Linked DNA regions of Macaca mulatta. The protein of the gene in region 1 purifies or fractionates together with the protein of each later gene. This does not show direct contact. Links are inferred from orthologs where the notes say so. Each region holds a gene or a part of one and is shown in the gene's direction. Other genes may lie near its edges.

The links.
Region 2: the proteins of L3MBTL2 (region 1) and MGA purify together in Homo sapiens (affinity purification with mass spectrometry; 3 studies listed by BioGRID and IntAct, counting the BioPlex papers as one, with this or other methods). This does not show direct contact. The link is inferred for Macaca mulatta from reciprocal best matches to the Homo sapiens genes L3MBTL2 and MGA.

What each region holds. Positions count from the first base shown.
Region 1 is NC_133415.1:10,297,962-10,301,561, reverse strand, and holds part of L3MBTL2 (lethal(3)malignant brain tumor-like protein 2), read left to right. Parts: intron 1-1,828; exon of another isoform or gene 1,829-2,392; coding exon 2,393-2,526; intron 2,527-3,600. UniProt on the Homo sapiens protein: Putative Polycomb group (PcG) protein. PcG proteins maintain the transcriptionally repressive state of genes, probably via a modification of chromatin, rendering it heritably changed in its expressibility.
Region 2 is NC_133412.1:18,988,922-18,993,171, forward strand, and holds the start of MGA (MAX gene-associated protein), read left to right. Parts: upstream 1-1,391; 5' UTR 1,392-1,466; exon of another isoform or gene 1,467-1,757; intron 1,758-4,250. UniProt on the Homo sapiens protein: Functions as a dual-specificity transcription factor, regulating the expression of both MAX-network and T-box family target genes. Functions as a repressor or an activator.

The sequences.
Region 1 (3,600 bases):
AATTTTTTGTGTTTTTAGTAGAGATGGGGTTTCACCATGTTAGCCAGGATGGTCTCAATCTAACCTTGTGATTCGCCCACCTCGGCCTCCCAAAGTGCTGGGATTACAGGCGTGAGCCACTGCGCTCAGCCTTATTTCCTTTCTATTCATATTGTCTTCTTTTCATCCCTTGCCTGTTTTATCTTTCTCTCTTCTATCCTCTTCCAACCCTTCTTTTAGAATCTTAGGATTTAGAACTAGAAGGAACCATTAGAGACCACTTAGACCCGGGATTCTGCACATTAGAATCATCTAGGGGAGCTTTTAACAAACTATAGGTGCCAATCTCCCATCACAGACCATTAGAATTTTAGGTTCAGGCTTTTTTTTTTTTTCTTTTTTTTTTTTTATTTTTGAGACGGAGTTTCGCTCTTGTTGCCCAGGCTGGAGTGCAATGGCGCCATCTCAGCTCACTGCAACCTCCACCTCCTGGGTTGAAGGGATTCTCCTGCCCCATTCACCCGAGTAGCTGGGATTATAGGCGCCCAGCACCACGCCTGGCTAAGTTTTTGTATGTTGAGTAGAGATAGGGTTTCGGCCGGGCGCGGTGGCTCAAGCCTGTAATCCTAGCACTTTGGGAGGCCGAGACGGGCGGATCACGAGGTCAGGAGATCGAGACCATCCTGGCTAACACGGTGAAACCCCGTCTCTACTAAAAATACAAGAAAATTAGCCGGGCGAGGTGGCAGGCGCCTGTAGTCCCAGCTACTCGGGAGGCTGAGGCAGGAGAATGGCGTGAACCCGGGGGGGCGGAGCTTGCAGTGAGCCGAGATCGCGCCACTGCACTCCAGCCTGGGGCACAGAGCAAGACTCCGTCTCAAAAAAAAAATAAAAATAAAAAAAATAAAAATAAAAAATAAAAAATAGAGATAGGGTTTCACCATATTGGCCAGGCTGGTCTATGAACTCCTGACCTCAGGTAATCCACCTGCCTCGGCCTCCCAAAGTGCTGAGATTACAGGTGTGAGCCACTGTGCCTGCTCAGGCATTTTTAAAAGCTCCCCAGGTGGGTCTAATAGTGAAGTCACGGGCCAGGCGCGGTGACTCACTCCTGTAATCCCAGCACTTTGGGAGGCCAAGGCAGGCGGATCACCTGAGGTCAGGAGTTCAAGACCAGCCTGCTCAACATGGCGAAACCCCTACTAAAGATACAAAAAATTAGCCGGGCGTAGTGGCACACGCCTGTAGTCCCAGCTACTCAGGAGGCTGAGGCAGGAGAATCCCTTGAATCCGGGAATCGGAAGTTGCAATGAGCCGAGATGGCGCCACTGCACTCCTGCCTGGGTGACAAGAGCGAACTCTGTCTCAAAAAAAAAAAAAAAAATGAAGTCACAATTAAAACACTGATCTAGCCGGCCGTAGTGGCTCACGCCTGTAATCCCAACACTTTGGGAGGCCGAGGTGGGCGGACCATGAGGTCAGGAGATTGAGACCATCCTGGCTAACATGGTGAAACCCCATCTCTACTAAAAATACAAAAAAATTAGCCGGGCTTGGTGGCGGCACCTGTAGTCGCAGCTACTAGGGAGGCTGAGGCAGGAGAATGGCGTGAACCTGGGAGGCAGAGCTTGCAGTGAGCCGAGATTGGGCCACTGCACTCCAGCCTGGGCGACAGAGTGAGACTCCATCTCAAAAAAAAAAAAAAAAAAAAAACACAGATCTAGTTCAGTCCCTTTACTATATAGATGAGAAAGTAGAGCCATAGAGGTTAAGTGACTCTGGCACTTTTTCTTCCTATAAATTTTTTCTCTCCTTTTTTTTTGAGACAGTGTCTTATTTTGTTGCCCAGGCTAGAGGTACAGTGGTGCAAACATGGCTCACTGAAGCGTCAACCTCCTGGGCTCAAGCAGTCCCCCCCTCCACTTTAACCTCCCAAGAAGTTGGGACGACAGGCGTGTGCCATCACACCAGGCGTTTTTTTTGTTTGTGTTTTTTTGCAACAAGGTCTTGCTGGGTTGCCCAGGATGGTCTCGAATTCCTGCCCTCAAGCAATCCTCCCTCCTTGGCCTCCCAAACTGCTGGGATTACAGACAGGAGCTACCATGCCTGGCCTCTTCTCACTTTCCTCTCACAAACTTTTCAACACTCACCTATTCCCCCAGTTGTCCTCATGGATTTCCATTAGCTCCTCTGTTGACATATGGAGCCAAGGGAGGCCAAGCAGCAGCACTTTGTTCAGGTAGATTCAGGATATACATGCCAGTACCTCCCATTCCTTCTCTTACTCCATTAGCCTTGGTCGGGGCAGGGGCTCACCTGGTTAATGCAGTGCCCCAGGTTTTGAAGGGCCCATCATTTTGTTGGCTTTGAGGTGGCCGTATCGGGTGAGTCATGTGCTAAGTTCTCTTCCCAGCTGTCTGTGAGATGTGTGGTATCGTGGGTACAAGGGAAGCCTTCTTCTCCAAGACCAAGAGGTTCTGCAGCGTCTCCTGCTCCAGGAGCTACTCCTCCAACTCCAAGAAAGCCAGTATCTTGGCTAGATTACAGGTGAGAGGCAGTCACCTGGGTCCTTCCCGGGGCCTTTGGTGCTGAGATAGGAGCCACTAATTGACTGAAGGCAAGGGCCAGGAAAGTTTGAAAAGCCCCTTGCTGGTGGCCAGCTGGTATTTATTATGTTCTCAAACTTCAGTGGACAGAAGAATCCATTTATGGAGCTTTTTAAATTATAGGTTCCTGAAGCTACCGTCCATTCCCTACCCTCATCCCCCAGAGTCTGGTGTGTTCGGTACATTTTATTTTATTTTATTTTATTTTATTTTATTTTATTTTATTTTATTTTTGAGACGGAGTCTTGCTCTGTCGCCCAGGCTGGAGTGCAGTGGCCGGATCTCAGCTCACTGCAAGCTCCGCCTCCCGGGTTTACACCATTCTCCTGCCTCAGCCTCCCGAGTAGCTGGGACTACAGGCGCCCGCCACCTCGCCCAGCTAGTTTTTTGTATTTTTAGTAGAGACAGGGTTTCACCATGTTAGCCAGGATGGTCTCGATCTCCTGACCTTGTGATCCGCCCGTCTCGGCCTCCCAAAGTGCTGGGATTACAGGCTTGAGCCACCGCGCCCGGCCTCTTGGTACATTTTAAACAAGAACTCTGGGGAAGGCTGACGCCCTTGGTCTTCACCCCACACTTTTATACATCCTTTGAAAGGAAGCTGGGAAACAGGCCCAAGGTTCACCAGCCATGGTGGCTTCAGGAAGTCCGTGCCTTGTCTGACTCCATGTCACAGGCAGCTACCTAGAAAGTCTTGCCAATTTTCTAAATTACTGACATTTATAGAATTTTTAGAGATGGAAAGGTTCTTGGATGTGGTGTTGAACCCACACATTTATTAAGTATACTGAAGTCCAAGGAGGTAGAATAACATACCTAGTGTGGCTCTGTACGAAGAGAATGGCAGAATTGAGGCTGGAACCTAAGCTCAGGGGCTTGATCTTACATTGTTTCCCAGTAGCTGTGACCAGCATCCACAACACTGCTTCCCAAATTTGCCTGCAAGCTGGGATCACGTGGAAAGTTTAAAAAATATTGATGCTGGTCGGGTACAGTGGCTCACGCCTATAATCCT
Region 2 (4,250 bases), on another chromosome or scaffold:
GCTGAGATTATGCCTTTGTATTCTAGCCTGGGTAACAGACTGAGACTCGGTCTCAAAAAAAAAAAAAGTTTAAAAACCTGTCACCACAATCAGAGTGCAGGAAGTATAAGAGCTGCAAGTTGACATGGATCTGTCTGACTTCAAACCTTGGGTTCTTTCCACTACAGCCAATATGTCCCAAACCCAGTTGTGCATAACAATTGCCTGGAGAACATGTTAAAATATGTTTTTCCAGATTCCCACTCAAGACTGACTCAGAAAATGGTAATACTAGTATGGCACTTTTCTCTGAGTTGTTATAAGGATTATACATAATGAATATTAGAATGTTTTATAAACTTCAAATATAACATCATATGCTTACAATTTAATGCTCTTTATTACACATGATCATCTAATACCCTTTCTTTTGATTTTCTAGTCAGGGAATAATTTTCTGATAATTAGGCTTATGAAGTACCTTGAAATTAGAAAAGGGTGCCACAAACTATATTTTGGCTTAATAACCACATTATAAATGGATACATTTAATTTTTAATCTATAAATAAGAACTCTTGAGCTTGACCATCGCTAGTCAAATTCTTCAAGCTTAATCATCTCTTTAAGAATTGATGAAATCGTTCTGAAATCGGCAAAGCTGAAGAATGGAGTTCAAAGCAGAAAAGGTGTGAATTGTTTTAAGTGGGGGTTTCATGGGAGTAAAATATTAGGTTTTGGCCTGAAGGGCAGTTTGTGAATATGTTACAAAGTTAATTGGTTCTGATGCCTGACCACTTTTTCTGAGTTAGGAGACGGTGTTTTTTTTTTTCTCGTTTCCAATATACCGTATCTCGTATGAGGTGGAACCAGTAACTGTGATACAGGCATGTCCCTGCCTCCTTTAAAACGCCGCATGCTCTTATCACCCTGCTTTCCCCAACAGTAGCAGTGAGTTTAGCAAGAAAGGGCTCATCTTCTATCCCAAGGGAAATTCCAAGTGCCATTTCCACTCTCATGTGGGGCTCCTGGTAAGTTGCATTTAAATTAGCATTCTTTTTCATTGGCCAGGAAAGGCTGGCAGTTCATTTGTAGGCAAATACCCTTGCTGTTTTTTTTTTTTTTTTTGAATCTTTACAAAGTCACTCAGCAGGCACACACTTAACGCTTGCTCCGTGGAGAAAGGTTAAACGGTTTCCCCAAGACCACACAGATCAAACAAGTCGGGGAGGAGGGGCTCAAAGTGCCTGGTATACCTCGCCACACTCCCATAATTACCCAAACCGTCTCATTCCAAGCCCAAGGATCGGGCTTTCAAAGGGGACACGAAAGGAACGCCCGGGAGGTGAGCGCCAGGAGATCGGGAGAGGTGCCTTTCCCGGCATGCTCTGCAGCACACCGAGGGGCGCCAGGCGTATCCCGGCGTGCATCGGGGAGCGCCCAAGGGCGATGGTTCCCGGCTCCTGGAGAGGCGCGCGAAGTTAAGCCGGTAGGTGCGAGCTTCCTTAGCTTTGAACCTCTGGTTTCTCGTTTCCTCTTTATGAGTTTAATTCCATAATGGCAGAAAAGGATGGCCCTCTAACTACCCTCCCTCTCCGCGTGCGAACGACTCGGCGCCGCTTCGAGCTCGGTGCCAGGTGATTAGCGGGTAGGGGCGGGCCGGCGACCAGCACGTGACCCGAACTGGCAGCCAATGACTAGCCGGGTGGTCCAGCAGCGCGAGGATTCCGGGACCCGCGAGCGGAACGGCGCGTGGGTCGGTTGCTGTCGGCCCTGGCAGGTACGCGCAGGCGCTTTGCTTGCCACGCGCTACGCCCGTCCCCACGCGCCTGGTGGCGTGTTCTTGGCGCGAGGTGTTAACAGTCTGGGTGTTTTTGTGAGTTGGGGGGAAGGAGAAGGTGGCGGGGAGGGGGCTGAGGCGTCACGTGGACGCCACAGCCAATCTCAGGCCGAGGCGCACCCACAGCTTTCCCCGGCGCCCCGGGGTGCGACGTGTTCATTGAGGTTCGACCGGGCCCTGACGGCCTGAGCGCTCTTTCGAAGCGCGTGTGCGGCCCGTAAATTCTGGCCGCGGCTTTTCGCGGCGTCCTGCTCCGCGGCAAGCACAGACGACAAGTTCTCAGCAAAATGGCTGCTGGAAAGAGTCGCCAAGCAGGGGGAGCGCTGGGGCCGCGTGAAGGTCACATGACGAGGTTGGCAGCGCGTGCTGCTGGCGCGGGGCAGGGGGAGGGTGGGGGGGGCGTGGCGGGTCACGTGCCTTCGACTGCGCCGGCCTGTGGTTTTCCAGCGTCTTTGCTGCGGTCGGATTGCCTGTTTTTACTCCTCCCACCTCGAAGCGTGGCAAGCGTCGGTGAGAAGCTGTGTGGTGTACTGGGATGAGCCGAGATCTGGGAATTCGGAGGCCTGGGGTCCAGGCCTTTGGCTGGTTTCATCTTTCCACTCTCGTCTTCCATTTCTCATTCAGCTCAGTAGAGGAGATCACCTCTTAAGGCCCCTCATACGGCCTCTGACTTCCTCACTTCAATTTCAATGCAGAAAAAAAAAAATTTAACAAATTCTTAACAATTATAATGAGACAACCGCCCCCCCCCCAAAAAAAAAAAACCCACAGCCTCTCCCCTCTCAATCTTTACAGTGATGTGGGAAACCTGGTAGAGGTAATTTGTTATAATATTCTGGGCATGTCTCTCCATCTTTATCATTCCCATTTATACTTTATAGGGGCCCACGACCTCATTTGAAAAATACTGTCTTTTAGACATCTAATCCCTATGTATTTTCTGGGAGGAAATCAAAAGGTAACTACTATTGTCATAACTGTGGAGATGGGGAAATAGTAGTATTTAAAGGGAAATGCTGATCACCCATAACGCTGACTAGAAGGGCCTAGAAGTCTTCGTTTCCACTTGATGGGCTAGCTTTGTAAAATTTTAGAGACCTGGTAGCCTGTGGCATTTTTCTTGGTCTCTGCTCCCAGTTCCAGCTCTTTATTTCACCAAAGAAGGGTCAAGGCGTTGGTGAAGAAAAGTATAAATTGTTTTCCACACCACTGCTTATGTTTTATGATACCTTTTGATTTATCTTAAAAAGAGCCTTTGAAGATTGTGCGAACACATCTGGAAAACATTTATTGAGCAATCATAATAGCTGTCACTTTTGAGTAATTATAGTTAACATCTTTCTGGCTTGGTGTTTTAAATACTTTGTACTGTATTTAATTTATTTAGTTCTCATAACAAACCTGCGAGGTAAGTACTGTTATTTCCATTTTACCACTGAGGAAAATAGCAACAGAGAGATATGGCTGGCAGTTTTACATGATTCCAACCAGATTTCCTTTTGAAAACTTGACAAAATGGTTTTAAAATTCATTTGAAAAAGTAAACCTAGAAAGTAAGAAACTTTTTGGAAGAGAAGAATGGGAAAAGGACTTGTACTAGAGAATATACAAATAAAGCTTTGATAATCAAAATGTAAGTAGCAACCCTGGAACACAAGAGTGGTGAAACAGAATAATCTAGAAATATATAAGATTATTTAGTGTTACAAAGGTGGTATTTCATATCAGTAGGGAAGGGGTTCCAAAATTTATGTTGGAACAATCAACTGTTTGGAGAAAGAATGGGATTTTTACCTTAAAATTTAAATAAAATTGCCGGGCGTGGTGGTTCACGCTTGTAATCCCAGCACTTTGGAAGGCTGAGGCGGGCGGATCACCTGAGGTCGGGAGTTCCAGACCAGCCTGACCAACATGGAGAAACCCCGTCTCGACTAAAAATACAAAATTAGCCAGGCATGGTGGCGCATGCCTGTAATCATAGCTACTTGGGATGCTTGAACCCGGGAGGTGGAGGTTGCAGTGACCAGAGATTGCGCCATTGCACTCCAGCCTGGGCAACAAGAGTGAAACTCTGTCTCCAAAAAAAAAAAAAAAAAAACTAGGTGAATTTTATATATATATGTGTGTATGTGTGTGTGTGTGTGTATATATATATATATATTTTTTTTTTTGAGAGGGAGTTTTGGGCTTGTCCCCAGGCTGGAGTGCAGTGATGCTCACTGCAACCTCTGCCTCCTGGGTTCAAGCAATTCTGCCTCAGACTTCTGAGTAGCTGGGATTACAGGTGTCCGTCACTACACCTGGCTAATTTTTGTAATTTCAGTTGAGATGGGATTTCGCCATGTTGGCCATGCTGGTCTGGAATTCCTGACGTCAAGTGATCCTCCAGCCCCATAGAGATGGGGTCTCACTATGTTATCCAGGCTGGTCTTG